Linked DNA regions of Tamandua tetradactyla. The protein of the gene in region 2 purifies or fractionates together with the protein of the main gene of each other region. This does not show direct contact. Links are inferred from orthologs where the notes say so. Each region holds a gene or a part of one and is shown on either strand. Other genes may lie near its edges.

What was found.
Region 1: the proteins of TRIM47 (region 2) and PPM1A purify together in Homo sapiens (affinity purification with western blotting; 3 studies listed by BioGRID, with this or other methods). This does not show direct contact. The link is inferred for Tamandua tetradactyla from reciprocal best matches to the Homo sapiens genes TRIM47 and PPM1A.
Region 3: the proteins of TRIM47 (region 2) and FBP1 purify together in Homo sapiens (affinity purification with western blotting; 3 studies listed by BioGRID). This does not show direct contact. The link is inferred for Tamandua tetradactyla from reciprocal best matches to the Homo sapiens genes TRIM47 and FBP1.

Annotation. Positions count from the first base shown.
Region 1 is NC_135338.1:4,804,486-4,814,576, forward strand, and holds the start of PPM1A (protein phosphatase 1A), read right to left. Parts: upstream 4,055-10,091; 5' UTR 4,036-4,054; coding exon 3,762-4,035; intron 2,129-3,761; exon of another isoform or gene 1,419-2,128; intron 804-1,418; exon of another isoform or gene 460-803; intron 1-459. UniProt on the Homo sapiens protein: Enzyme with a broad specificity. Negatively regulates TGF-beta signaling through dephosphorylating SMAD2 and SMAD3, resulting in their dissociation from SMAD4, nuclear export of the SMADs and termination of the TGF-beta-mediated signaling.
Region 2 is NC_135332.1:16,242,383-16,252,177, forward strand, and holds TRIM47 (E3 ubiquitin-protein ligase TRIM47), read right to left. Parts: upstream 4,260-9,795; 5' UTR 4,229-4,259; coding exon 3,539-4,228; intron 3,303-3,538; exon of another isoform or gene 2,779-3,302; coding exon of another isoform or gene 2,542-2,778; coding exon 2,446-2,541; intron 2,265-2,445; coding exon 2,034-2,264; intron 1,854-2,033; coding exon 1,655-1,853; intron 1,221-1,654; coding exon 1,146-1,220; intron 953-1,145; coding exon 312-952; downstream 1-311. UniProt on the Homo sapiens protein: E3 ubiquitin-protein ligase that mediates the ubiquitination and proteasomal degradation of CYLD.
Region 3 is NC_135328.1:121,203,680-121,213,998, forward strand, and holds the start of FBP1 (fructose-1,6-bisphosphatase 1), read right to left. Parts: upstream 4,679-10,319; 5' UTR 4,519-4,678; coding exon 4,349-4,518; intron 1-4,348. UniProt on the Homo sapiens protein: Catalyzes the hydrolysis of fructose 1,6-bisphosphate to fructose 6-phosphate in the presence of divalent cations, acting as a rate-limiting enzyme in gluconeogenesis. Plays a role in regulating glucose sensing and insulin secretion of pancreatic beta-cells.

The DNA.
Region 1 (10,091 bases), on a different chromosome or scaffold from region 2:
CTCGAAAGCCTGAAGCACATTCCCCAGAACCGGGTGTTTCGAGGGCAGGTCCGGCCCGGGGGCGCCTCCCCCGCTCCCTCTCCGGGCCGCGCGCCCGGGCCCGCCGCGCCCCCTCCCCGCCGGGGAAAAGTTCCGCCGGCCGCCCCCGGGCCCGCCGACCCCTCCCGCGCCGCCGCCGCCGCGCGCACCCCGCCCGGGCCCCTCCGCGCGTCGCCGCGCCGCCGCCACCCCGCCCCCGCCGCCCGCCGCCGCCCTCCAGGCGCGTTAACCCCTCGCCGCCCGCCGCCCGGCTCGGAGGAGGAGGAGGAGGAGGCCGGGCCAGGGGGTGGAGTCGCCGCGTCTCCTCCCCGGAGCGGCCGGGCAGACGCCCGGCTTGTTTACAGGCCCCAGGCCTGGCTTCGCCGCCGAGCAGGCCCGCGCCGCCCGCCCGCCCGCCCTCGGCCCCAGCGCCGCGCTTACCCCGAGCAGCCGCGGGCGGGCAGGTCCCAGGTCGGCCGAGGCGGCGGCGGCCGGGGAGGGGGCGGAGGAGGGGAGGAGCCGGCTGCGTCCAGGCCCCCGGCTCTCGGCGCCCTCGCGGCTCAGATCATCCGGGCGTTGGAGCGGGAGGCGGAGGACGGGTCCCGGAGGAAGAAGAGCCGAGGAGTCATCGCTTTCGCTCCCCACCTGCCTGGCGCCCCCCCACCCCCCCTCCCCAACCACCGGGTCCCGAGCTGCGGCCGCCCGAGTTCCCGAGGCTCCGGGCCGGACCGGCGCGGAGACCGCTGTTCCCTCGCTCCCACGCGCGCTCCCGTCTCCAGCGCCGCCGCCGCTGCCTCTAGCGCGCCCCCGCGCAGGCGCGCTCACGACGGCGCCGCCCCTCCTCCACTCCTGCGCTCGCCCCACCCTGCCGGCTCCGCCGCCGCTCCAACTGCGGCGCGGCGGAGCAGCTGAAAAGACCCGGATGTCGTGGGGCAGGCACTGCGGCGAGCGCTGGCGCGCGGTTGAGGGCGGCCGCGAGTGACGTCACTGACCTCCCCAGCTTCTCCCGCCGACGCCGTCGCCTAGCTGTCCGGGCGACGGGAGCCTTCCGATCTCCGCTCCGAACCATTATCCGGCCCTGGATCCCCCAGCGGCGGAGACTGAACAAGACTGCGCAACCGTTCGGGGTCTGGGAGGCTCTAGAGCCTTTCCCCAGCCGGCCCTCGGAAGGTTACCCCTCGCCCCTCGGGCGGCTGCGCCTCGCTGCTGGGCGCGTCCACCTGCCTGCAGATCCCCATCCCACTCGCCACCTCTCCGCGGGCCCCGCTAGGGTGCTGCCCGCGCAGGGCCGAGGTCAGCTCCGGAGCTTTTTCCTCTCGCCGCTGCCGCTCCGAGGCGCGGCCGGTCCCGCGGCGTGGCCGACCCCCTCTCTCCCAGTGCCCCGCGACCGCAGACCCTCTTCCCCGAGTGTCCCCGGGAGCCCCACGGACGGGCTCCGGCCACGCACTTTGCGCCCCGTAGGGCGGGCACACACGTACCCTGCCCCCACCCACCCACCGACCCAGAGCGCACATGATGCACGCACGGGGCACATGCCCCGAGTTTCTGGCAGGCTTTCCGCCGTAGCTCATGGGATTCCAGGGTATTTATTTGCACATGTTGGTCACGTGATTTTGTCACAGCGAACCTCCAACGACCTCCAATGAGATTAAGGGAACAGAGGATTTTTCCAAAAATCTGGAGGATAATCAGAAACATAGCAGCTGCTTCCATTAAGAGTTAGAGATGAGCTCAACTTAATTGAAGTTGCACGTGCAGGCGGCCAAAATCCAGTTTAGCTAGCTAGCCTAGGGAAAACCCGACCCACGCCGCTTGCAGACGCCGGGGATAGAATGACAAACCCTAGGCGACCAATGAATCAGAACTAGGGAGCAGTACATCACCAACTCGCGTTCCCATTGGTTGGGGGGCCTTTCCTTCTCGTTAGAGGCTTAACCTGTTCGTGGATTTGACCTACACCACATTCTCAGAAACAAGCTAAAAGAAAAGATTCCTGAAAAATTTAGAAGATGTCCTGACACATACAAAGAAAACCTGAGTGCGTTATTGCTGAAGGGAAAGACGTATAAAAGAATACCTGAAAACACTAGCCAAATTGAGCCTAGCCAAGGTAAGTTTGTGATGAGCCCTCTCCATTTTATCTCAGGAGTTCAATGTAGCATTTTGCACCCAGCCACTTTGTATATCCTGTAATCACTTTGTTGCCCCAACTCTTAGATCAAAAGCAACTTATTCTTTCATTCAGCAAGCATTATTTAGTACCTCTAAAGTTCTAAAAGCCGTCTTCATTTTTTGCAACGTGACTTGTGGGGGAACTTCTGTGCCCTCCGCTTTGAGACCTCACAACGGGATCAAATAGTAGCTCCAGTCAGTGACAGACCAAATCTTTGGGGAACCCAAAAATCACTCTACCCAACATCTTTGGGATTAGAATTTCTTCGAGTAAGATGTAAATGGATCATTTCCAGGAATATGAAGTAAAAATGAAATTCACTTAAGAATTTTGTCCCAGTATCATCTGAGGACATAATTCTTAATTGCTTCCCCATATACCTGCCAAGAAAAGAAATTGGATCAAAGATCTTTGAATTTCTACCTATTGAAACCCTTAATTCTTCAGACACGAAACAGCATGATTAGCATGCGACTGGACTCATTAATGGTCCAAAATAGAAGAGCCCAGGTGGTGACCAGGATTTGGAGAGCTCGTTAAAAAAAACTGATTTTCTAATTCACGAGGCAGAAGCTGGCTCATCAATGACAGCAGGGGACCACAGAGAAATTGAAGATTTTGTCCATTTTTCTGCTTCCTTCCTTTAGATGTCCTCACCTTTCTTCACTCTGCTGTACACTGGTAGGAGAATCTGGGCCAATTGTAGCAGGAAAGGGGGGGAAGTAAAATATGAGCGTAAAGATAGATTTTTAAGGAATATGCACAGTGTACCACAGACTGCCAATAAATCCACAACTTCCTGCAATCTCTTATTTCAGGACACAGTTTGCATGGACATTTTGGTAAGAAATGGAAAATTCATGGATTGTAAGATCAATGTTTTAAATTTGGAGCAAATCTTAACTGTTTCTAATGAAATATGCTTGATATTATAATATCCCCTTCCCTGTTATTAAAGTGTAAACTAAGGGGAGAAACCTAAATGAAGTGAAAAACATTGGGAAAAAAAGAGTTGAAGATTTTCTTCTCTTTTGAGCTACAAAGCTTAGCTTGGGCCTCCCACACAAGTCTGAGACGTTCATAGTAGGTTTTGTAGAACAGCAGCAGGGAATATATTGCCGTAACTGTATTTTAGGAATTTCTATGGGTATGTTATTAAACTTTGGAAATCTCTTTGTATTTCAGTTAACAAAGATTTTATCAAAGATTAGCTTTAAAGTCTTGAATTTAAATCCATGCAATTAGGCCAGTAGTTGTAAGGTTTGGGGTGGGGAAGGGAACTGTGGTGGGGAGTCTGAATAGTCCAGCAAGACTCAGACCCCCATTCCTCCATAAGTCTTATTTTAAAGAAGAGGTTTACTATTGTGAATGCATCCAGGAGAGTCACCCTTGAGACAGCCTTACCCAGGTCTCTCAGGATAATCTCAAACAATTTAAATGACCTCTGGAGGGGCTGCCTGAGACTCTCCCTTCCCCCGGGCCATCCCTCCATTCACGCTAAAGCCAGCCACTACACAAAAGTTACAAAGCCAAGAGGGAGGTTCAGTTCTTCCTCTTCTACCTTCACTACCTGTTTCATGTTTTCCTTTCTCAAAAATCCTCTTCATTTGTCCTCCTGTTCTCTCTTTTATCCTTATCGTTCTTCTCCCTGTCTTCTGTTCTTTTTTCATATCCTTTATCCTTCTTTTCCCCATTTTTCTCTTCTCTTTCTTCTTTAGCTTAGTCCTCATTGCAGCTTCTACTACCCACTTAAATAGTGCCCCAAAACTAATGTGGTTTAGGGTGTGTAAACCCCCCACACCCCAGTTTTCTTTCCTCCCTCCCTCCCCAGCATATCGTGGCATGAAAAATTTAGCTGTTTAGGAGGCTGTCATAGAATTAAAAGGAACAGAGAATCCTGTCCTGTGTGACATCACTAGGGCAGCTCTGTCAGGGTGGGGCAGAGAGGAGCCAGCCATCCTTGCTGCCGCTGTGCCTTCTCCTGAGCCCAGAGAAAAATGTTGCTATTATGAGAGCCACACACAAAGTCCTGGCTGGTCTTTATGGTAGGCTCTTGCCTCAAGATAAATGTATGTGCCTACATCCGTTGGTGTGGATCTCGTCAGACAAGTCAGTTCAACAGGTAGTTACTGTGTGCCATGCACTATGCTGGACACTGGGGACAGATAATGACATCAGTGGGCAAGGTCCCTGTCCCCAAGGAGCTGACATTATAATGAAAGATATGCATGAAGAAGAAGAAGAAAAAAAGACAAGGAAATCGCTCATTGTGATCAGTTGCTGTGATGGGAATAAAAAATAGATAAAGGAGGTGACCTGTAACAGGTGTTCAGGGCAGTCCTTTCTAAGGAGGTAGCATTTGAGTTGAAGGATGAAAAGAGGTGAGCCCAGAAAATAATTGAGAGCTTTCCATGCAGAGGGATTGGCATGGGAAAAGGGCCTGAAGTGAGAAAGAGCTTGGCAGAAAAAGTTTGCCCATACAGCCCAAAGAGAGACTCAGCAAACTCAAGGCAAAAATTTTGTAGTCGACAAAGTTTAGTTGGGGTTCCAACTTAGGATATTTGGGATATCCAACTTCCAGTTAGGAAAACACATTGCACAGTGGGACACAATCCATACAAAGCAACTTGGTGAAATGGTCCAGGCAAAAAAGCACAGAGGCTTCAAAGAATCAAGTTTAAAAATCAAGTGACTCTTGCTCAATTATGAAAATAGAGAGGCATGCCACAACCTCCAAGAACAGGTTCCTTTAGACATGATAAGTAAACTATAAGCTTTGAAAAAAAAAAAAGAGATAGCTTTTTTCTCCCAATATGGTTATCTTAAGTAAGGATCAGTAAGATTTTGAGTGGACATCTGAGTACATCCTTTCTGAGTGTTTAATATACAGTCCAGGCATTATGGAAAATCCAAAATTAAACCATACCTCTGAAAACTGCAACACATTTTGCACCCTTAACAATGGAGGCCTGGCTGAAAAGCAGTGATGAAATGATCATCATAATAAGCCATTTTTATCTGTTTCCTGCTCGGCAGTTTACAAAGCACTCTCTCACAGGCCAACCAATTAAATCCAAGCCTTGTGGGTAGATAGGGCAAGGACTGTCGTTCCCATCCTTTACAGAAGGGAAAAATTTGACTGGCACCCAGGTTTTCTCCTGTACCCTACAGATCATCACTGCATTTTTTACATGTGAGTAATAAAAGCAGTATGGACAATCAGTAGAAAAAGCACTAAACTAAGAGAGAGCAGTGTGTTGGAGCTGGCCTGTACTGGCTCACGAGAGCCAACTTAAATTTTAGGAATTTTGATGGCAGTTTGTTAACACGGCCATTATTAAAAATTAAATTTTATAAATTTTTATTAAATGGCTTTATTTTAAAACTAAGGTAATTGTGCCGATTTGAATTTGTTGTGGACCCCAGAAAAGCCAAGTTTTTAATCCGCATTCAGTATTGCTGGGTGGGAGCTTTTTGATTATTTCCATGGAGATGTGACCACTTAATTATGGGTGGTAACTTTTGATTAGATGGTTTTCATGGAGATGTGTCTCCATCCATTCAAGGTGGGTTACTTGCTGGAGCCCTTTAAGAGGGAACCATTTAGAAAAAGTTATAGAGCCCACGCAGCCAGAGACATTTGTAGATGAAGAAGGAAAACAGCCTGGGGATCATTACGAAACAAGAAGCCTGAAGAGGAATCTAGCAGGTGTCCACATGTTCGCCATGTGCCTTTCCAGTTGAAAGAGAAACTCTGAATGTCATCAGCCTTCTTGAACCAAAGTATATTTCCCTAGATGCCTTAGATTGGACATTTCTACAGCCTTGCTTTAATTTGGACATTTTCATAGTCTTAAGAGCATATAAACATGCAACTTAATAAATTCTTCTTTTTAAAAGCCATTATGTTTCTGGTATATTGCATTCTGGCAGCTTGCAAACTAGAACAGTAATGAATACTAGAAATGCATCACTTTTATATATTTTAATACTTTTTATTATTATATATGCTTTTGTGGTTATTTATGCCTATTTTGTCTGTGTGGTGGAAATTCTCTATAAGTTATTACTGCACATCTTTACCCAACTCTGTATTCAGTGACTTCATGTTGGAATTTGAAATTAGCCATGGAAGGAGTATTTACACCATGGAGTTAGCCATGGAAGAAGTATTTGCACATGTGCCACAAATTAGGGCTTCACTTATTGCTTTGTTGATGGTCTAGACTTGAGAAAGTGATGGAGAAAATGTTAATAATGAAGACTAAATTTTAAAAAGCATGTCCTGTCCTGTTTTGAATATCACAAAAAACATCCAATTTAGTAAAGAAGTCACCCGCAACATTGGCTCTAAATTGTCTTTGTTACTTCTTCAAAAGGACTCCAAACTCTATTTTTGTATTTTATGATTTTTTTAAAATAATTTTTATATTATAGAACTTGGGCCACCATGCATTTATTCAATCAATTGGTATTGATCTCCTGGAATATGCTAGGCACTGCTGTAGAGACTGGGGATATTGTGGTGAAGAGGGGATACAGTTTTCATGGAGCTTACACCGGCCCAACAGAATGCAAGCAAGGTCATTGCAGAGAGGGATAAGTAATAAGGATGTGGAGAAAAGTACGACCCAGGCAGGCTAGGAGACAGAAGGGTCAAAGGAGAGGTTACTCAGCATGGGTTGGTCAGATAGTCTGTTAGAGGAGATGGCAGCTGGGCTGAGGCCTTAATGACAGGAGGAAGCCACCACATAAAGATCTGGGGGAATAGTACGTAATCTGTCTCAACCTGTGTGGATAGATCATTTAAGCAATTCAGATACAGGCAGCCCAGAATAAGAATGAGGGCCTTTAATCCTGTAGGGCATAATGTAATGCCTGGATACATCCCAGAGTATATTAAGCAGATAATCAAAAAGTGTTGGCAAAGTCCAATACTTTTGGACTTTGGATGGAAGAAAAATTATGGGACTATTAAATTTTACCACTGGGGAAACCCTGGATACTGTGCCAAACATTAGGGACACCACATCAATAGACCAAGCTCTTAATCTTGAGGCTTGCTCTTGGGAAGCTTATTTACATAGCAAAGAAGCTTAGCCTACCTATAGGTATGCCTAAGAGTTACTTCTGGAGGACTTCTGTTGTTGCTTAGATGTGATGTCACTCTCTCCAAGCCCAACTCTGTAAGTGTAATCATTGCCCTCCCCCCTACGTGGACATGACATCCAGGGGTGAATGTCTACCTGGTGGCATGGGAGATGATTCCCAGGGTTGAGCCTGGCCTGTGATTCTGACAAAAAGGAGAAAAAGGAGTTTAACAAATAAGGTTATCAGTGGCTGAGAGAATTCAAATAGAATCAAGAGTCTACTCTGGGGGTCACTCTTATGCAAGCTTCAGTTAGACATTGCTGCCTAACATAACTTGCCAAACCCCAACCAAAACCACTCCTGCCAATCCTAAAGAACATGTAGGGTATTATATAAGATTCTACAAAGTCTCCATGCACTAGGGTAACTTTCCAGAAAACTAAAACCTCCAAATGGGTCCTTGGGAAAGATAAGTCCTGAAATGCAGAGAGGCCAGCCTCACCGGAACATCAGCTAGTTCCATCCCCCATCCCATATTATGACAGCCCCTTCCAACATGAAAAGGTTAGACTGGGCATAGCCCAAATACCCCTAAAGAGTGGGAGAAAGATCAAAGGTAATAGTGGTGTTATACAGAGAAGGTAGGGTTTAACAAATGAGTATGATTGCTAAATCATTATTTTGATATTTCATTTAGTCTCCAGTATTCTTAGAGCAGCTAGAAGTAAAAATCTAAAATTGTGGAATTGTAATCCATACCAAACTCAGAAATCTGTTCTATGACTAATTGTTGCGCTGTACTTTGAAATTTATTACTTCTTTGTGTATATGTTATTTTCACAAAAAAACAAAAAAAAAAAGTCAATTGTGATGATAAATGCACAGCTATATGATGATATTGTGAACCAATGATTGTACATTCTGGGTGATTACATGGTATGTGAATATATAATATATATCAATAAAATTTTTTTTTAAAAAATCAAAGGAGAAGGTGGAGTTATAAAGGAGAAGATAGGATTTAACAAATGAGTATGACTCCTGAATCATTATATTAATATTATTTTCATCTCCAGTGTTTTGGAGCAGCCAGAAGGAAAAACCTAAAATTGTGGAACTGTAACCCATACCAAACTCTGAAATCTGTTCTATAACTGATTGTTGTGATGTGCTTTGAAGTTTATTGCTTTTCTGTGTATATGTTATTTTTCACCATAAAAAAAGTGGACTACTAGCTCTATTCTATAATATTTATAATGACCAAGTGTGTCTCAACTTTGATCTTAGGTCAAAAGTTAGCAAACTTTTTCTGTAAAGGCCCAGGTAGTAAATATTCAGGCCTTGCAAGCCAAGAGCCAAAACTGAGTTATAAATGCTTTACTAGGAATGGTTTTGCACTGAGCAGCAGTGCAAAATGACAACAGTACCAAATACTGTCTGTCCTGGTTTTTCAAATTGTCCACGGCAGTGCAAAAGCAGCCCCAGAAAATAGGTAAACCAATGGGTGTTCCAAGAAAGCTTTATTAACAAGCACACACACACACACACACACACACACACAAATCTGGGGGAAGAGTATGCCAGTCAAGAACGGAAGCCCGGGGATGGAAGTGAACTTGGCTTGTTTAGGAACAGAGAACTCCGAAATGGCTGAGGCATAGTGAGGGAGGGAGTAATTAGGGTCCCTATATTTCGTGGCAAGAATTTTGGATTTTATTTTGAGTGTGATAGAAAATCACTGGAGATTGTTATGCACAGGAGTGATAAGATCTGATTTATTTTTTGCTTTTGCTGCAGTATGGAGAAGAGTTTAAGGAAAGCAAAAGTAGAATTAGAAAAGTCCTTTTGTGTCAGTTTCAAAGTCTATATGAGGAGGTAAAATTAGCTTTCAGTTTTAAATTGCGTAGGTTGATTATATTTTGGTGATAGGAATGTGGTCTTTTAAAGAGCTCTTGTCACTGGTGCTCTTGTTTTTAGCTTCTGGGAACTATCCTTGGGTATTTTTGCCAATGACTCTTCAAGTAACCTTTCTTGGTAATTTTAGAAAAATGCAATAAGGAGTATCTTGTGGGAAAGTCTAGGTTAAGTGTAGGTAAAATAGAAGCCCACTTAACTGGTTTGATCTCAAGTGAAGACCTATTATCCTCAAAAATATTCTTCAAAAGCCTCATTACTCTATCCCTTTTCACTCACCACCTGCATCTGAATGCAGGCTGAAGACTAAAATTCTTCTAATTAAATGATTACTTAATTTTTCTAATTAATTTATATTTTGTGCTATATAGTGAGAATGATAGTTAAGGTGTGTTTACCTAAAACAGACATTTACATCTTAATATGACAGTCTTTAAGTCATTTATAGAGTCAAGTTGTAAATCTTGGGAAGCAAGTCCCTTGATGTGTTGGTGAGACTGAGTAAAGGAAGTGTGAGAAGGGATTCAGTGAAGACCTCAATAACACCAAGACAAATTTTATTTCTTCTAAACTGTACCTAGATTTAGTCTTTCTCATGGACCTGTGAAAGAAGTAGTTCACATATCAGTCTTCTTATTTGCTATGAGGCTTTCTTTATTTAATTTAATATTCATGTATTGGTACCCTTCAAAATAAACCTGGAATAGGCCTCTGGAAAAGGATAACTAATTTTATGTTTGTATTAGTTAGGGTTCTCTAGAGAAACAGAATCAACAAGAAATATTTGTAAATATAAAATTTATAATAGTGTCTCACGCAACCGTGGGAACGTAGAGTCCAGAATCCACAGGGCAGGCTGTGAAGCTGATGATTCTGATGGAGGATCTGGATGAAC
Region 2 (9,795 bases):
AGGTGGAAAGAAGAATGGAAAAGGGAGTCAGTCGTTCAACAAATGTTTATTGAGCACCGCGACGTGCCGGGGGGGCTGGGCCCTGTGCTGGGCACCTGGTGGAGGAGGGGCCGGGGTAGCTTGATCTCTTCCAGCTGGGGGGCTCTCTCTCCCAGAAACAGGGCCTCTTGAGGGTAAGGTGAGGGCCCGTGTGTGTGTGTGTGTGTGTATGTGTGTGTGTGCGTGTTACTCTAAGGCTAGTGACGTCCCCCGGGTTCAGAGCAGTCAGCTTCGCCAGAGCTGAGGCACAGCAGGAGGTCTGGGCCCCGGCATCACCTCCTCTTGAGCACAGATATGCAGGACTTCTTGAGGGGCCCGATCTGCAAATGGGCATCCACGCTCTCCAGGAAGAAGGCCGGCTTGAGCCTGTGGGCGAAGAGCCCTGCAAAGTGGTTGTCCAGGCGGCTCTGGAAGGAGTCACTGGGGGAAGGTGGGGGGCCGCTCCGGCGTGGCCGGGCAGCCTTCAGCCTCCGCAGCAGGCTCACCTTGCCGTCTCGCACGGCATAGAAGGCCAGCGCCCGGTCGGCGTACTCCAGGCAGATGCCCACGGTGGGCGAGAAGGGCTGGGAGAGGGGCATCTCCAGCCCGTGGAACCAAATTGAGAAGCTGCGTCCGTTCCACTGCAGGCAGCAGGAGTGGGCGTTGCGGCCCAGCCGGCCCCGGTCGTAGGGCTCTTGTGGGGAGAAGTCCTCGGCCATGACCCCCATGCTGACCCAGCCCTCGATGATCTCCACCTCCCAGTAGTAGGTGCCCCGGTCGAGGGCACCCTCGCCCAGCACCTGCTCGCAGTGGGTGAAGCGGGTGGGCGACTCGGGGTAGTTGATGGGACACAGTACCCGCTTGACGCCTTTGGTTCCAAAAAGCTGCAGGAATTTGTCCGCCGTGTCGCTGTCCAAGTCCACGATGTAGGCAACTGCTCTCGCGGGCGGGACAGAGATGCAGGGCTCAGATGGGACGGCCTCTCTCCCAGGCACCCGTCTCCCCCATACACGGGCCCCTCTCCTTCTTTGCTGGGGACCACTCCATGAGCTAACCTAGTTCGCCCCAAGGACGAGGGAAGGGAATGGGAGCCAGGCAGCCAGGGGAGGGCCTAGGTGCCCACTTACACTTTAGAAAGTAGTCCCTGGGGGCTTCGCTCTCCAGGTGATTGGTGCTGTCAGGGGCCTGGGACTCGGCATCAGCTGCAGAGGAGACAGTGGGGACAGGTCGCTACAGACTGCCCAAGATGTTGCAACTGGTGCACCCGCACTGGCCCCACTCTAAACCAGAGACCACAGTTCCCGCTCCTGCCCTTCTCCCAGGGTCCTGAGTCACCTGGCGACAGGTACACGCCAGAATATGGCACCCAGTGTCCCCATGCATGCCTGGTCCCTGGGTTCTGAGCCTTGTGCCACTTGCCCCCTGGATCCTAGTCCCCTCTGTAGCTAGGGGGTGGGCAAGAGAAAGGGCCCTCTGTGGCCAAACTGACTTGTCACCACACAGAGGTGGCTCCAGGCACTGGCAGGATTTGAGCCAGGCACAGTTTCCATCCTCCGCTTCTGGATGGGCACCAGGCTTGGGGGTGCCCGGGCAGACTGGGAAAGGGTGAGTCAGCCAGGCGTGGGGGAGCACCCACCTTCCGAGCCTGGCTTCTGCAGGCTGTCCTCATTGCTTCCCAGCCCCTGCAGCTGCTCCCACTGGCTGGTGCAGGCCGCAGCCAGCACATCTCTCACCGCCTGGACGGCTTGGCTCGACTTGGTGAAGCTCAGCTCCCTCGGGGGGCTGGGCCCAGGGCCGCACCCCTCTTCTAGCGCCAGCCGTAGGGCCAGGAGCTCCTGTGCCAGACAGATGCCGGTTAAGGTTGTGCTGGCTCCAGCTCTGCCCGGCGGGGGTGGGACAGCTCTGCCAGGAGGCTGGGTCAGTTCCTCGAGGCCACGTGCTTGGGGGCAGTTTCTCCATGCCCGCCGCCCCTGCCTCCCTCTGCCTCCCACCTTTCCCACCGGCAGCCCCCTCACCTGCAAGAAGCTGACTGAATCTGCCTCCGGGACCTGGCTGAGGTTGTGGCGGGCACGGCTGAGCCGGCTGCGCTGCTCCTCCTGCCGCCGCAGGTCCCCCTGCGAGTGGGCCAGCATGGCGGCCTCCCCCTCCTCGATGAAGCCCCGCACCTCTGCCTGGAAGCCCTGCAGGGTGGCCGCGGCCTCGGCAAACAGCCTGCTTACCCTCTCCCGCTCTGCTGCAGCCGCGCTCTGCACGGGACGGCATTGGGGGTGGGCATGAGGGCAGGGTATGGTCCTGGGCTTCGGCTCCATCCTCCCCACCCTGCCCACACCTCTCGGGGGCACCCAGGGACCCAGCCGAGCCTGCCCAGATCCCCAGGGCAGGGGAGACCCTCCGTTCAGTGGGGCTGGGGGAGGTGGCGGCTCTGACCTTGATGAGGGCCACGGTGCGCCGGGACTGGGCGATGCCGGCACCCAGCTCGTCCATACGGTCGTCTGCAGCGCTCAGGACTTGGGGCTGCTCAGCCTGTGGGTGACACCGTCCGTGAATCCAGGGTCTGGCAGAGGCCAGAGGCCAGCACCCAGGGCCCGCAGGAGAGAGAAGAGGGGGGAACCAGAGTGGTGTCTGTGCCTGGGTGAGACTAGCAGTGGCCATGATGTCGTGACCGTGCCAGAGGTGCCACTCCCAGATGCCCATGGACAGGAGGCCGGCGTGGTCGTCCGCCCTCCCTGCCTGACACAGGGCATGTCCAGGGCCAGGCATGGACCCTGCTGTTGCTCAAATTCACTTGAGAACCTCCTCCAGTGGGAAGAGAGGCCAAGGATGAAAGTGTGCCAGGGCGACTGCACAAGTGGGCCTGCCACTGTTCTGGGGATCACTGACCACCCCCCCCAGGTCTGTATCCCCAATGTAGGCCTGAAAACAGGGGATTCCGAGTAAATCCCCTGGGTCTTATGAGTCACTGCTCCAGGCAGGAGAGACGGAAAATCCCAAGGCCGGAGGCACCAAGACCCGGCTGGAAGCCAAAGGAAACTGGGGGCGGGAAGGAGAGGATAGGGCTGCACACATGCTCGCGGCGGATCTGCTGGACAGAGCAGAGCTGTGTGCCGGCCTCCGCCTCTCTTCTGCGGCACTCCTGTCCCCGCCACACCCATCCCACCCCCTGCCTCAGCCCAGGGCCAGTTTCAGCTGGAACCGGCATGCGAACCGGCATGCGCAGGAGCGCATCAGCCTCGCCGCCGGCATCAGCCTCCCGGGCACCCCACGGGCCTGGCCCAGCCCCGTCCTGGCTCAAACCTACATCGACCCTGGCTCAGGTCCCCCGCCCTCCCTTCGCGTCCTGCGTGTCCTCCCTCCCCCATTCCCATCTCCACCACCGCGAGAAGGTGGTAATTTCAAGACAAGGATCCTTTCCGAGCCGGGAAGGAGGGACTGGGGGTGTCCACGGCCCCCTCCCCCCCCCCCCGCCAGCTCGCGCGCCGCCACCGTCCAGCCCCTGCCTGCGCAAGGCGTCCGCGCCCACCTCCCGGAGCGCGCGCTCCTGCTCCAGCGGCACCAGGTCGTGGCCGCGGTGCTCCAGGGCGGCGGCGCAGGCCTCGCACAGGCACACGCGCTCCGTGCGGCAGTAACGCTCGAGCGGCCGCAGGTGGCGCGGGCACAGGCTCTCCTCCAGTCGGCGCAGCGGCGGCACCAGGCGGTGTCCGCGCAGCGCGGGGCTGCGCTCGTGCGGGCCCAGGTGTGCTGGGCAGAAGGAGGCGAGGCAGGTGAGGCAGGAGAGCGCAGCGGGCAGGGCGGCGCCCTCGGGACACGCGTCGCAGCGCACTGGCTCTTCGGCCTCCGGCCACGGCTCGGGGGCGCAGGGAGCCGACGGCTCGGGGGCGCTGGGCAGCACGCTGGGCGCCGCGGGCTTCGGGGCCGGGGCCGGGGCCGGGCTGGAGGCCGGGCTGGAGCCGGGCCCGGGGCCCGAGCCCTGGCGGAGCTGCAGCAGCTCGGACAGCGTGTGGTTCTTGCGGAGCTGCAGGCCGTCGGGGAAGGGCTCCTGGCACAGTGGGCAGCGCGCTGAGCCCCCCGGCCCGCCGGCACCTCCTGCGCCGCGGTGCGGCCAGAGCGCGCCCAGGCAGGCGAGGCAGAAGTTGTGGCCGCAGGGCAGGGTCACCGGCTCCCGCAGCGGCTCCAGGCAGATGGGGCAGCCGAAGGGCCCGCTGCCGTCCATGGCTCCGCGGCCGCCGGGGGCACCGCCTGTTCTGCTCCCGCCTGGGAGGGACCCGGGCCGTTTGCGCTTCAGCGCCGCCCCCCAGGGACGGCGGCCAAAAGTTCGGCCCCCGCCCGCCCCCTGACTCGGACCGCCCCCCCAGCGCCGCCCGCCCGCCCCAGCACAGCCGGCCCGGGCCCCAGACAGCGCCGGCCCGCCCTTCAGGGCCTCGCCTGACTCCCAGGGGCTGTGGGCGGCCGCCCCCAACTGCATAAGGAGGTGGGGGTCAGGGGGCGGGGTCAGAAAATGGGGTGGGGGGGCATGCTGGAAGGAGACTGGAGAGGAGGTCCCACCTGGGCCGGGCCTTGGTGCTCCACATCCCTCCCCGGCGGGTTAGCAAAGTTTCTTAGCTGCTGACTGCAGAGAAGGCTAACTGCTGACGTCCCTATGTTTTTGCCCCTTAGCGACTCTATTTACCCCGGTGGGTAACTCGGAGCATTTCTCAATCTGAAATGGGAAGTTGACGTCATCCTCCCCGTCGCTGGGTGAGGAATTCAGTTCCGGCCCCTGGATGCTGGTGGCCCCTGCAAAGGGGCTGGGTCTGGGGCTGGATCCCCATGTCGGACGCTTGTTAAGGCTCAGCCAGCTTGCACTTGAGCGGGGACATTTTTTTTTTTTAATTTTTTTAAATACCAAAAAACACAAAGCAAATGCAGACATTCCTATTTTGATCATTCCGTTCTACATATATAATCAGTAATTCATAATATCATCACATACTTGCATAGGCATCATCATAATCATTTCTTGAAACATTTGCATCTCTTCAGAAAAAGAAATAAAACGAAAACAGAAAAAAAATTTATACATACCATACCCCTTACCCCTCCCTTTCATTGATCACTAGCATTTCTATGTACTAAATTTATTTTAACATTCGTTCCCCCATTATTTATTTTTATTCCATATGTTCTACTCATTTCTTGACAAGGTAGATAAAAGGATCTTCAGACACAAGGTTTTCACCATCACGCAGTCACATTGTGAAAGCTGTATCATTATTCAGTCATCCTCAAGAAACATGGCTACTGGAACACAGCTCTACATTTTCAGGCAGTTCCCTCCAGCCTCTCCACTACATCCTGAATCACAAGGTGATATCTACTTAATACCTAAGAATAACCTCCAGAATAACCCCTCCACTCTGTTTGGAATCTCTCAGCCATTGGCACTTTATCCCATTTCACTCTTACCCCTTTTGATCCAGAAGGTTCTCTCAATCCCTTGGTGCTGAGTCTCAGCTCATTCTAGGGTTTTTCTCAATCCCTTGATGCCGAGTCTCAGCTTATTCTAGGATTTCTGTCCCACGTTGCCAGGAAGGTCCACACCCCTGGGAGTCATGTCCCACGTAGACAGGGGGAGGGGGGTGAGTTTGCTTGTTGTGTTGGCAAGAGAGAGAGGCCACATCTGAGCAACAAAAGAGGTTGAGCCCAGACATTTTATCGGGTATAAATTATACCTCTAATATTGATTTAAAAAAAAAAAAAAAGAATGGCAACACAATAAGTTAGTGTTTGGCTTATAATCCAAAACCTAAAATAAATATCCATGAATCCACACACTGGTACAAAAATGATTGGATAAATTCATAAATGTGGGCAATTACACCCATTTCTCCATAATTCCAAATAATTTATGTAGGTACTCTAAGCTGGAACTTAACTTCCCACTCCTTAAAGGTGGGCTGCACCTGGTGACTTCCTTCCAGACAGTACAGCACAGAGTCCAAAGGTACCTCAGCCAGGTGCTTCAGCATCAGCCCTGATGGCATGTTGATAGTAATTCCCTTGATATCGTTAAGTAAAATAAAATGGCTACCTGTGTTCTGCATGGCCAGAGAAGACCCCCTTTCAGAGAATGACTTTTCCAGAAACGCTTGACCTGCAGGGATTTTCAGAAAACAAAACAAAACAAAAGCAGAACATGGTCTGCAGGGACGCTGATAAAAAATACCTGGTAATAAAACTAGCTTGGGTCCTGTGGACAAGCAGGCCACCCTAACCTACATGAGACCCCCCTATGCAGGACGGCAACTTCATGTCAGCCGACCAGAACCCCATAGGAGCTCTTCCTTCCACTGCTTGGGGGAGCTCCCTTCAACTTTGGGAATGGGGGGGCACCTGCTTCATGAATGCCCAGTAGAGCTGTGAGATCCTAAATTGTATGAAAAGGTTTTCTTTTATTAGCATGATATGAGAATGGCCCCTTTGCCTCTGTGGCCAATATCTGAGTGGCACCTCTCAAAACTGTCCAGGTCATCAAAAATAGGGTGGGTCTGAGAAACTGTCACAGCCAAGAGGAGCCTAAGCAGATTTGATGACTAAATCTGGGGTAGATCCAGGACAGAAAAGAGACAGAATAAAAAGTAAAGAAGTTTGACTAAACTATGGATTTTAGTTCGTAAGAATGTGTCAGTATTGGGTCCTTTATTGTGATAAATGTAACGTAGTAATATAAGATGCTTACAAAAGGGCAAAAGAGATGGGGTGTGGGGTAAGTCTCCATATTTTCTTTCCAATTTTTCTGTACATTTGAAGTTTTCTAAAGTTAAAAGTTTTGTTTTAAAACTATAGAATAGTTGAGGCAATTCTTCCCACACCCAGGCCCACGGACCTCCTGCAGATGAGAACACCAAGTGTAGGGAGTAAATGGATGTTTGGGGGTTGCAGGGGAAGCTGGAGTCCAGCTAGAGGAGGGGCTTCATTTTCATCATGCCCGGGACCCCTTTAGCAGTTTGGATTCCTTTTTCAAAGTAATGCTTTTGAATGTACAACCCAAAATGTGTAGAACTCCACCTGAGCTGTACAGGCTACTTCTAGATTTTGAGATGCTGTGTTATATATGCATAACCTGGTATTTCCCTGAAACTTTGGCTACCTGTGTGACATCTAAAACTCAGAGTTGGTGTTCTTCAGCTCTGCAAGTCAGCATTGCTACATACAACACCTGTTAAAGGAACTGAGAAAGAGATCTGGCTTCAATTAGAGATGAGAGTGCAGCTGACATCTGTTCAGGACCAAGATAAATCAGACTGCAGGGTAAAGGGTGATATTGTCTGTATTTCAGAACTTCACCTACTGTATGAGACCAAAGGAAGAGGGGTTCGTTGTGTCCCAAACCTGATTTTTTTGTAGCATATAACCTAACTCAACCTGTCTGGAAAGCTCATTGGAACATCCCCAACACATGGAGCCCAGAATGGGAATGAGGGCTTGTAATTCTGTATAGCTTAATGTAATACCTGGATACAACCCAGAGTATGGTGGGCAGATAATTAAAATGTATTGACAAAGTCCCTTGAGGAATTGGAGAAAAAATGTGAAACTATTAAACTTTCCCACTGGGGAAAACCCTGATATTGTCTCAAACATTAGAGACTCCCATGTCAATAAACCACGCCCTTGATCTTGAGGCTTACTCTTATGAAACATTTCTGTGGTGGAGAAGCTAAGCCTACCTATAGTTATGCCTAAGAGTTACTTCCAGAAAGACTCTTTTGTTGCTCAGGTGTGGCCTCTTTCTCTCTAAGCCCAACTCTGCGAGGAAAATCATTACCCGCCTCCCCCCACTGCCCATGGGACATAACATCCAGGTATAAAAGTCTCCCTGGCAATGTGGAACATGACTCCCAGGGATGACCCTGACTCTAGCACCATGGGACTGACAATGCCCTCCTGACAAAAAGGGGGAAAAGAAATAAAATAAGGTATCAGTGGTTAAGAGAGTTCAAATAGAGTCAAAAAGCTATTCTACTATATATTGCTGTTTGCCATGGCTTGCCAACCACCAACCAAAACCATTCCTGTCAACCCTAAGGAATACCTAGGGCTCTGTCTGAGAGTCTACAAAAGTTTCATGCACTGTGATTACTTTCCAGAAACCTACAATCTCTAGATGGTTCCTAGGCAGATAAGTCCTAAAACCCAGAGGGGCCAGCCTCTCCGGAACATCAATTAGTTCCATCCCCCTATCCCATATTGTCAACACCCTTTTTCTTTTTTGATTTTTTAAAACTTTTTTATTGTATAATATAATATATATACAAAGCAAAGAAATAAAAAAGCAATAGTTTTCTAAGCACTCTTCAACAAGTACTTACAGGACAGATCCCAGAGTTTGTCATGGGCTACCATACCTTCATCTCATATTTTTCCTTCTAGCTGCTCCAGAATATAGGAGGCTAGAAGAAACAGATTTTATCATCAAAATTGACTTCTTTTTTCCTTTTTTGTGAAAAAAATAACATATATACAAAAACACAATAAATATCAAAGCACAGTGCAACAATTATTTTTAGAACAGATTTCATAGTTTGGTATGGGTTACAATTCGACAATTTTAGGTTTTTACTTCGAGCTGCTCTAAGATACTGGAAAATAAAAGAAATAGCAATGTAATGATTCAGCAATCATACTCATTTGTTAAACCCTACCTTCTCTGTATAATTCCACCATCACCTTTTATCTTTCTCCCCCTCTTTAGGGGTATTTGGGCTATGCCCATTCTAACTTTTTCATGTTGGGAGGGGCTGTCGATAATAAGGGGTAGAGAGATGGAACTAGCTGATGTTCTGGAGAGGTTGGCCCCTGTGGGTTTCAGGACTTATCTGGTCCAGGGACCCATTTGTAGGTTGTAGATTTTTGGAAAGTTACTCTAGTGCATGGAACCTTTGTAGAATCTTATATATTGCCCTAGGTGTTCTTTAGGATTGGCAGAATGGTTTTGGTTGGGGTTTGGCAAGTTACGAGAGGTAGCATTGTCTAACTGAAGCTTGCATAAGAGTGACCTCTGGAGTAGCCTCTTGACTCTATTTGGACTCTCTCAGGCACTGATATTTTATTAATTACTCTTCTTTTCCCCCTTTTGGCCTTTGTGGATCCCATGGTCGACACCCCTTTTCAACATGAAAATTTTAGAATGGGCATAGCCCAAATACACCTAAAGGTTGGGAGAAGGATCAAAAGAGGAGGAGGAGTTATAACAGAGAAGATAGGATTTAACCAATGAGTTATGACTGCTGAGTCATTATATTGATATTTCTTTTAGTCTCCAGTGTCTTAGAGCAGCTAGAAGGAAAAGCCTGAAATTGTAGAACTGTAACCCATACCAAACTTTGAAATCTGTTCTATAACTACTTGTTACAATGTACTTCAAAGTTTATTGCTTTTTTTTTTGTATTTATGTTATATTTCACAATAAAGAAATGTCTTTAAAAATGTGTACGGCTCCAAAGGAAACTAATCACATTGCAGTATAGTCACAGAATATTAAGAAAGCAAATTTGTGGTAGAGTAATATATGTGTTTCTTTAACACTGTAAATAACAAGAACGGGTGGAGATCTGATTCTTACTGTGTTGAAATCATGATGACCATCAATTATATTTCAGGTTTTCTGGAACCTTGTAATGTACTATGAAAACAACTGTAAATTCCATTGATGACAAAGTCATAGGTATACTGCTAATATTACTGGAAAGAATTGTTGGATGTCAGCTAGAGGACAGTGGAAATAAAGATGGGACTTTT
Region 3 (10,319 bases), on a different chromosome or scaffold from region 2:
GCAGAGATAGGAATAATACGAGCTCAGATCCATCTCTCTCTGAATTTGTGCTCTTAAGCCCTGCATGTTCCTGCTCCTCTAAACCCAGTCCCGATTTTCTTTTCTTCTTCCTCTCGCCTCTGGGCAAATATGCCTAAATCCAGCCAAATCTGTAGTTTTTCATGTCCGAGTTCCAGGCTGGCATGTCCAACTGCAGGACATCATCTCCAACTGCGATAGCCCTCTAACATGTCAAGTTCAAAGTTTCCAAAATGTTGGAAACATCGTCTCACCCTTCCAGCCTCCCCAAACCTGCTCCTCCTTTTGAATTCTGTTTTTGTCTCATTTTTTAATGGCCCTTCTCTCAGTCCTAGGACCAGCTCCTTGAGTATCAAGTATTCACCCTTGCCACCTGATGATTCCCCAATCCACTCGCAATTTAACAGCCCCCCTCCCCAATCCACCATCACGTGTACCCTACGCTTCAAACTGAATGAGCAATTTTTCCAAAAAGAATCACTCCCAACTCAGTACCCTTGCTTACATAACTGTCAGCCTGAAATGCTTTCTAGCCATCAGGCATTATGACCACCTTTTACTGTCTATTTCAAATGCACCTCTTCCTTCACAATCGTAAGCACCCACATAGTATTTTGGACACCTCTATGATATAGTCTTTTGGCACCTCTGATAGAGATTCTCTATCAGAATTTCTATTGTGTGTCGTAACTCACTCTGCATCTTATTTTTCTACAGAATAAGCACTGTGTCTTTCTCATGTCTCAGTCTCTTCTAGAACTTTGTAAATTGTGAGTGTTCAATAACTTTTTCTTTTTGGTATGCTATATGGCAGGGGTCACACTTCATTCTTTTTTCCAAGTGAGTAGCCTGTTATTACTGCACCAATTGTTGAATTTTTGTGCATTTGTTTTTTCTTTCTTTTGTCAGCTTGTTTTGTTTTTTGGGGGGAAGTGCATGGGCTGGGAATCGAACCTGGGTCTCCTGCACAGCAGGCAAGAATTCTACCATTGAACTACCCTTGCAGCCCCTAAATAACATTTTGTTGAATTGAATGGAACCACCAAATTCTTCAGTGTATTCAGAAACATGTACAAAGGAAAGTCAACTCCACAAACCTAAAGCAAAAGCTGAAGCCACCAGAGAACCGCTTTCCCCCAAAGCAATGAAAATGAAGAAGTGGGGGAACACCCGGAATTTTGACATACGAACCATGAATTTATCAGATCTGCTTTATGACTTGACGGGCCGCTAAGCGTTCTTATTAAAGAACCAGAAGCCTGGCTATCGGTCGCTGGCATCTGCATACCTTCTCTCCTGAGAGTGGGTGGAAGAGAGCCTGGGAACACCTAGTTAAGACTCCAGGAACATGTATGTCAAAGGGCAATGGCTCCTTGGGAAACAGTTCTGAATTCACGTCAAAGATGTAATTAATGATGAGATTTAGAGTTTGGTGAGTTGTCAGTGATTTCTTAAAAACAAAGGAAGAAACATGTGGTGTGGCAGAAAGAGCCCTGAGCTGGGGCTCTGGGACATCCAGGTCACACCTTCCCTGGCCTTCAGTGGGTGTCCTCAGCTGTAAAAGGACGGACAGGACTAGGTGACATCTAAGTCTCTTTCATTGTAAAACTCTAGCATTCCATGAACATCTTACTAGAACTATGAAAGTGGCAGCTGTAGGCAAAAATGAGAGATGGAGAGAAAGGAAATCTGGCTGTACGCCTCAATTTCTGATGTTTCCTCGATGAGATGTCATCGTCATGCTCCTTAAACATGTTTCTGTGAAGTCACTGCAAATCTGCCATCATCCTGTCCCTCTGGGTGAATATCCTTCTAGGGCAAGTTCCCAGCACTAACAATCTTTTTGCAGGCACTCTGGGCTTTTCATCTGGGAAATCAAAGCCTGTAATGAATGTAATTTGGAGGCCTGACTCGAGATCATGTTTGATTGCTGCCAGCCTGACTACATGTCATATGGAGAAGAGCCAAATTCTTCCTTTCCCAAAGGAGTATTTAAGTGCACAGGTTTCTGGTTCTCTCCCACCAGCCACCATCATGACTACACATTGACACCAGTTCCAAGGGTACAATGCTATTTATAATGGGCAAATACTAGTGAAAACCTAAATGCCCAAAGACAGTCATAAAATAACTTTGCAATAGGTCCAGGCAGTGGAATATTACACAGCCTTTAAAAGGGGGGAAGTAGATTTACATGTCCTGATGCGAAAGATGCTCATTATAAGACTGTTGAATGGTAAAAGCAAACTGCAGAAATGTATGTTAAGTGTGATCCCATTTTGTTTGATATTTACATGTAAGCATATGTAAAATATATGTCCATGTGTAAATTTTTCTGATTATTAAGAAATATCTGGGAAAAATAACTCATACATTACTAACAGTGGAAAATCCAGGGAATGGACAAATTTCACTTATTGCTTTATGTTTTTTGAATGGTTTGAATTTTTGTCAGTGAATGAAATTTCTTGATTAAATTATAATAGTAACAACAATTAATCACAACTATCTAGTTTAAAAATACACATATTTCATGCAGCTAAAATGAGCACCCTTTGTCCAGAATCCACTCTCATAGTCATATACACAAGGAAGGCATTATCTGATCAGGGAAAACACACCTCTCTCCAAGTGTTCAGAGTTCATAAAAACATTAAAGCAATCAGAAAACACTGAGGTTACTTAGAAGATAGGAAAGATACACCTCAAAACATATCCTGAGTTTCTGAGACTCTATGGGTTTCTGAAAGGTACTGAAACATTTAAAAAATAGAAGACATGATAAGTTCTTTTTTTAAAAAAAGCTCCCTTTTCTCAGTCATGAGGCCACCGATACTCGAAAATGAAATCTGAAGTGAGATTTTAACTGAACATGTTTCCTAAAGCAAAGAATCCTTAGAAATATGTTATTAAGAAAGGTCAAAGATGAAATTAGTAACGAGCTACCACCTTTCTATTATACCTGTTCCAATTTCTCTTACCCTGCTTGATATCTGAAAATAAACATGTGATCTTGCGCTCCTTTCTGAAGAGTTAGCTCTACCAGCCCATACTCTGGTACCAAACGGGCTGCCTGAAAAGGAATCCAGGTTGCAGGAAGTTTGTGTGTGTGTGTGTGTGTGTGTGTGTGTGTGTGTGTGTGTGTGTGTGTGTGTGTGTGTGTGTGTGTGTAGGGAGAGGGGCCGTTTTAATAAATGTAGAAAATGCATTCCAAAGTAGGAAGGTTGCACTTTTTTTTAGATCAGCTATGAGCATCATGCATCATTTAAAAAACAATGCTCATAATCATGAGAAATGTTAGGAAGCAGTGTGGGCAATCTGAAAACCCAGGGACCCTTCAGTTACAGCAACGGCCAGTCAATAAAATAATTTAGTGCACCAGGATAAATTAGAAGGTATTTGTGTGACTTACAGGAAACTTCACAGAAGGTACCCTTTGAGTCACCATGCCTCGTAAGTCCTTGCTTCTTAGAGTTGTGGCCCCACAAGTAGAACACTCTAAATGTGTTAGAAATGCAGAATCTCAGGCCCCACCCCCAGCCACATTTTAAGAGGATCCTCCTAAGTAATTCCTGGGAATGCCAACAACTGAGGTACATTCATAGCCTAGCTCATTTAAAACTCTTTCATTTACACACAGCTTTTGGGCAAGGGCTGCACACACCATTACTGCATTGGATAGAAGTTTTTAACCTGTCTGGGTGAGTTTTCTGTGTTTGTGGGACAACACAGCAATTGCCCCAGGCAGGGCCAGCCTCCAGAACACTGCATGAAAACAGCTCTGCAGCTCTGTGCAGGCAGGCTCCCTCCCACCTGCCCGGGTTTAGAGTCAAAGAGATAGTGGGTTGGAAACCTGACTTGGGACTCCAATCCCAAAAAAGAGAACCAGAAAGTAAGGCATCCACTCCACACGTTCCTGTGTGAGATGATCCCAGACTAGGATGGGGCACTTGGGCCGGCCACGTGCCATCCCTGGCCAGTCTGTTGCATCTGGAGGAGCTGAGAGATGTTGTCAAGGCAGGTTGCTCAGTCCAAGTAGAAGGGGTGCAGGATGGTGCGGGTTTCGACCTGGGAGACAGACTCTCCTCGCCCCACCCCACCCCCAACACCCCCAGTTGGGTCCCTCCAAGGTTAAGGGTGGACGACTGGGTTTGAGTGCGGCTAAGCAGGCTTCTGGAGAGAGAGGAACTATCAGAGAGAGTGAGAGACTCTTAGATGTCAGAGAGACGAAGGCTGACAGCAGGTGGCCAGAGAGCCAGGTGTCGGAGATCCCCAGCCTGACAGACAGACAGACAGGACGCGACCCCAGGCAGCCGGAGACCTGACTCACAGGTGCGCGATGCCCGCCTTGCGCACGGCGGTGGAGATGGCTTTGACCGCCGTGCAGAGCGAGTTGAGCAGCTGGGTCATCTCGCCCGTGCCGCGGGCCTTCCTGCCTTCCTCCATGACGAAGCGGGTCAGGGTGTTCACATTAGTGTCGAAGGGCGCCTGGTCCGTCATGATGGGACCCGACTGGGGCGCGCTGGGCGGCAGGTGCAGGCGGCGACAAGGCAGCAAGAGTTCGACCCAAGCGCGCCGAAGGTCTGCACCGTTAAGAGCGGACCTGGTCCAAGCGGCGTACCGGAGGGGTGTGTCTTGGCGGAGCCTATAGGCGCCGAGTCCCCGCCCCCCACGCTCGGGTCCCTCCCAGGCCCCCCACGCCAACCCCGCCCGCGGGGATTTCACTCAAACTGCCTGATATTGCAGTGCTCTTGGCTCCCCGCACCCCGCAGTCGCCCGGACACGCCTCGGTGTGGGCGGAGCACAGCCATTTGCGTTTGTGGAGCGTCACTCGGGGCCGCCCATCTGATCTCCTTCAGTCCTCACAACAGTCCTGCCCGAGAGGTACAGTCGTGATTGACTGATTGATTGATTTCTGTATTTTTCAAACTAGAAAGCAGAAGTTCAGAAAGGTTAAGTCACTCGCTCAGTATTGCACAGCTAGTAAGTGAAGAAGCCATCCCCGCAGCCCAGCGTGGCCGGGTCGCAGCGCCCCCTGCCCTTCCATCGCCGGTGACCCCTGCTGGGCTTGTTTACCTGGTTTTTCTGACCGACCTCAGAAGTGGATGCCCCTGCCCTGATGGCCCAGGTGTGAATCCTTAATTCAGGCCTCTTCCTCTTTATAGAGTCCTATAATTTGAAAGCTGTTGGAAGGAATGAAGTGCTGGTCCATACCACAACGTGCGTGAAGCGTTCAAACGTTACGTTGAGTTTATGAGCTAAGCCAGACACGAAAGGACAAATATTGTATGATTCCACTTATATGAAATATCTAGAATGAGCAAATGCATGGAGACAGATTAGAGGTTAGCAGAGGCTGGTGGGAGAGGAAAATGGGGAGTTTTTGCTTTACTGGTGCAGAGTTTCTGTTGGAGGTGATGAAAAGGTTTTGGTAATGGACAGTGATGATGACAGCATAATATTGTGAATATAATTAGTGCCACTGAATTATACACTTAAAATGCTTAAAATAGGGCAGGCCACGGTGGCTCAGCAGGCAGAATTTTTGCCTGCCATGACGCAGACCTGGGTTTGATTCCCAGTGCCTGCCCATGTTAAAAAAAAAAGGTTAAAATAGAAAATTTTGTTTTATGTTACCACAGTAAAATTAAGAAAGAAAAAAAAGGTGGGGGGTGGCTACAGGGAATCTTAACTTTCAGCACCTGCATTTTTTGCAGAGGAAAAGCAAAACAGTTGCAGAGACAGAAAAGCGCCTCCTACCTACCACACGGCTAATCCATGGTAGCTCTGGGGCCTTGAGGCTCCACAGCCCATCCCTTAACTGCTTTGCAACCACAGAAGTGCTGCCCTAAGGCTGGTCATGCCCTGATTCAGTTCATAACATCTATTGAGCACCTACTATGTGCTGTCTAGTATGTGTACCTACTAGGTCACTGTCGTAAGCAACTGGGGATAGAGCCTGAACAGAACAGCTAAAACTCCTGCCCTCATGGAGCTTACTTTGTAACAAAGAGGCAATGAACAAGCTAAATAATAGCTCTAATATGTTAGATGGGGGTTAGTGCTATAAAGGAAACCAAAATAGGAAAGGAAGATGGGGAATGTTGGGGAGGAAGAGATAAATAGAGGAGTCAGGGAGGTTTTATTGAGAAAGTGACATTTGAGCAAAGAACTGAAAGACCTGAGGAAGGAGCCAGTGGAGATTAGAGAAAAATGTTTTCAGCAGTGAGAGAAGGAAGTGCAGAGACCCTGGGGTGAGAGGGTGTGGCATGTTGGAGGAATGGCCAGGAGACACTGTAGCTGGAACAGAGCTAGCAAGGGGCAAAAGGGAGGAGATAAGGTCATGGATGGTAGGATGGTGGTATAGGGCCTGGGAGCCTGTGGAAGGTTTTACCTTGACTCCAGTAGGAAGGAAACTATTAGAGAGTTTTCAGTAGAGGAAAGGCATGACCTAATCTGATGTTTTTACATGATTACTCTGGCTACTGTGTTTAGATTAATCCAAAGAGGAGAGAGGACAGATACTCCTGAGGTTACTGAGAGATGGTGGGGGGTTGGGCAGAGAAAGTAGCCATGGAGGTAATAAGAAATGGTTGGATTCTGGGCATAGTTTGAAAGTGGAGCTGATGGGATTTTTTGACAAGTGAAATGTGTGAGAAAGGGGAGTCAGGGATGATTCAAAGGCTGGAGAAGAATGGAGCTGCCCTTAACTGAGATGGAGAAGACCAGGAGGGGAGTATGCTGGAGACACCTGAAGAGTAGGGACTAATTCTGGGACATACTCAGTTTCAAGTGCCCATTAGACATCCAAGTGACTGCCAAGTAGGTGGATTTATGAGTCTGGAGTTCAGAGGAGAGGTCATTGCTGGAGGTATACATTGGAAAACCTCAGTTGTTTTGAGCCATGAGATTGGGAGAGATTGCCAAGGAGGGGTAGGTTGGAAATCAAGAGAGGTGGCATCCAAAAGCCAGATGAAGCCCATGAGTCGAGGAGCAGGGGGTGATGGCTGTGCTAAAAACTGCAGATGGGTTAATCAAGATGAAAACTGAAAACTGCTGAATTTCGTCGGTGGAATCTAGGGTGCCCAGGAATGTCACATGGGGGAGGCTTACAAGAGAAGGTGGTGGTACCACCAGGAAAGACAGTACTTGTCTCTCCAAGGGGGTGTTGATAACCACTGCAGAGAGGGCAGACCGCTTGAGGCAGCACAAACTGCACTTAGCTCTTTGTTCCTCATGCAACTTTTCAGGAGAAGTAGCATGGAATGTTAAAAAAATGTCTAGAAGAGATATATTTCCTTAAATATAAAATCTGCAACGTGATGACTAATGCTTTTGGCCTAGTAACTAGTATAGCCACTCCATTCAAGGGTTTGCCCATTTACATCTCAGATTTCTAATCCCTTAGAGTGATGGTTTGGAGCTGTATGTACTCCCAAAAAAACATGGTCTTAAATGTAATACCTTCTTGTTGGTGTAACCCATAGTAAGTCGGGCCTTTTTAATGTGGCTACTTCAGTTAAGGTGTGACCCACCTCAGTAAGAATGAATCTTGATCCTATTACTGGAGTTCTTTGTAAGCAGAAAGAAATTCAGGCAGAAAAAAAGCCATGGGGAGCAAGAAGCTGAAATTTAACAGAACCTGAAAGAGAATACAGAGGCCAGGAAAGGCCGCCATGTGCATTGTCATTTGACTGACAAGCCAAGGACCAAGGATTGCTAGCACCCAGCTCCAACATGCCAGTCTTCAGGAAGAAAACATCTGTCTGATGATACCTTGATTTAGATTTCTCTTAGCCTTAAAACTGTGGGCCAATAAATTCAAATTGTCCAAACCAACTCATTGCATGGTGTTTGCTTGAGCAGCCAAGGAAATGAAGATGCTCAGTAACTTGGATTGGCTAGAACTGTAAAAGTCATCTAGTTCAACCCAACCCTTCTGAAGCTTGAATCTCTTGGACATCATCCCTGATGAGAAGATGATGATGGCTCTAAACTTGGCCTTGCCACTTACTGGCTGTTCAAATCTGTGCAGGTTACTGAACCTCTCTGAACAGCAGTTTTCTCACCTGTCAGGTGGGGCTCTTGAATGTAGCCACCTAGTAGTGTTGATGTAAGGACTGTAGCAATGCCACTGAAGTGTGTAGGGATGGTGCCTACGTCATCTTTTGCTGTCAAATGAGGGCTGAAGAAAACAACCCGAGTGCCCATCAGTGGATGAATGGATAAACAAAATGTAGTACATCCAAACAGTTGAATATGATTCAGCCATAAAAGAATGAAGTCTTGTAACTCTTAACCTCTTTAAGAGTTCAGAATTTGGGTTGGGCAGGCCTGTGGGATTTCCGGCTCTAGCCCTTACTAGCCTGAACATCTTGGGCCAGTTACCCAATCTCTACAAAACTGGTGTATTCGTCTGTGAAAGAGTGATTGTTCTAGCTGGCAGGGTTATCCTGAGGATGAAATGAGATGCTCAGAGCCCGATGCAGAGGGCACAAAATACATGGAAGAGACCCTTTCTAGTTATTTACAACAGTCATCCACAATGATAGACAGCTCAAGCCAGCACCCACAAGGCCTAACATTCCCCTTTGGAGTGAGGCCACTTAGCGAGATGGTTAAGTTCATAGACTCTGGAGCTAGGTTTCCTGGCTCTAAAGTTGACCTTGCCACTTACTGGCTGTGCAAATCTGTGCAGGTTACTGAATATCTCTGAACAGCAGTTTCCTCACCTGTCAGGTGGGGCTCTTGAATATAGCCACCTAGTAGGGTTGATGTAAGGACTGTACAGAAATGCCACTGAAGTGTGTAGGGATGGTGCCTGGCATGTGGTAAGCACATGGTATGTACATGTTTGCATTGTTATGATGTGGATAACATCAACTGTTGCTTTCATCTGAACAGAAGGAATTAAGTTCTCTTGCCATCAAAAGAGGGCTGAAGAAAACAACCCAAGTGTCCATCAATGGATGAATGGATAACCAAAATGTAGAACATCCAAACAATTGAATATGATTCAGCCATAAAAGAATGAAGTTCTGTAATATGCTACTGCTTGGATGAATCTTTAAGACATTATGCTGAATGAAATAAGTCAGATACAAAAGGACAAATATTGTATGATTCCACTTACATGAAATAGCTAGGATAAGCAAGTTAATAGAAAGTAGATTAGAGGTTACCAGGGGCGGAGGTGCAGGCAGGGAGAATGGGGAGTTATTGCTTAATAGGTGCAGCGTTTCTGTTTGGGGTCATGAAAAAGTCTTGCTCATGGATGGTGATGATGGTGGCACAGCATTATGAAAGCAATTCTTGATGCTGAATTGCACACTTAAAACAGTTAAAATGGAAAATTTGATATAGGTTATCTCAATAAATTGCTTAAAAAAGAGAGGGAATGTCGAAGGGACATTGGAATCAATGTCCTCGTTTATATTTACCAGTTGTGCAATGATATCCCGTTCACAATGTGGCGGGGTCATCATGCAGGAAGCCCATTCCCCAGGTGTTTGCCAGAGACAGGAGCAGGTGCAGCCCCTGAGGGAGGCGGGCGCCTTGCACGTGGTCTGCACACATGGCGCTTTCTCCTGCCCCTTCCACACCACTCTCCCCCATGGCAGGACTGGCCACGGCCCTCTGTGACTGCTCCTTTGCTCTCATCACAAAACACACTCCGATTGCAGACAATCTTGCAGACTTGAGTGGTGGGTGTGGTATCCCCGATTTTGTGACAGCTCTAAATCCTGTAAAGAAACAGTGATCACCTGTTTCATCACCTGGCTCCAACCCAGGAAGGCTGTCTCTGGTTTATGTCAGAGGCAGGAAGTTGGAAAGGAGCAGTGTGGACAGTGAATTGCGTCCTTCCCCTCCTACCCACCTCCACACCTCCTGAACTGAGGTCACTTCTTTGTTTTCTCCCCTGTCCACGTGATTCGCGCAACAGGGAAAGAAATAGCAGATGGTTGCTTATGACAGAGTCCTTCTGACTGTGTGGCCCTTCCTTGAGCAATTCCCCGGTTCCTCTGACCTCTGTGGCAGCGGAACTTGAGATAGAAATTCATGCAGCTGTCACTTTTGAGCTAATGTTTATTTAGTTACTTGCTAAGTACCCAGCACTTACCAAGGGCTTCATCACCCAAACACAAACTCTGCACCTGTTTAGTAATACCTTCCCCTTCTCCCCTCCCCACCCCTGCCCCTGTTGCCTCTACTCTACTTTGTGTCTTTATAATTCGCTTATTCTGGATATTTCGTACAAGTGGTGTCGTACAATATGTTTTTATGTCTGTCTTAGGTTCGTT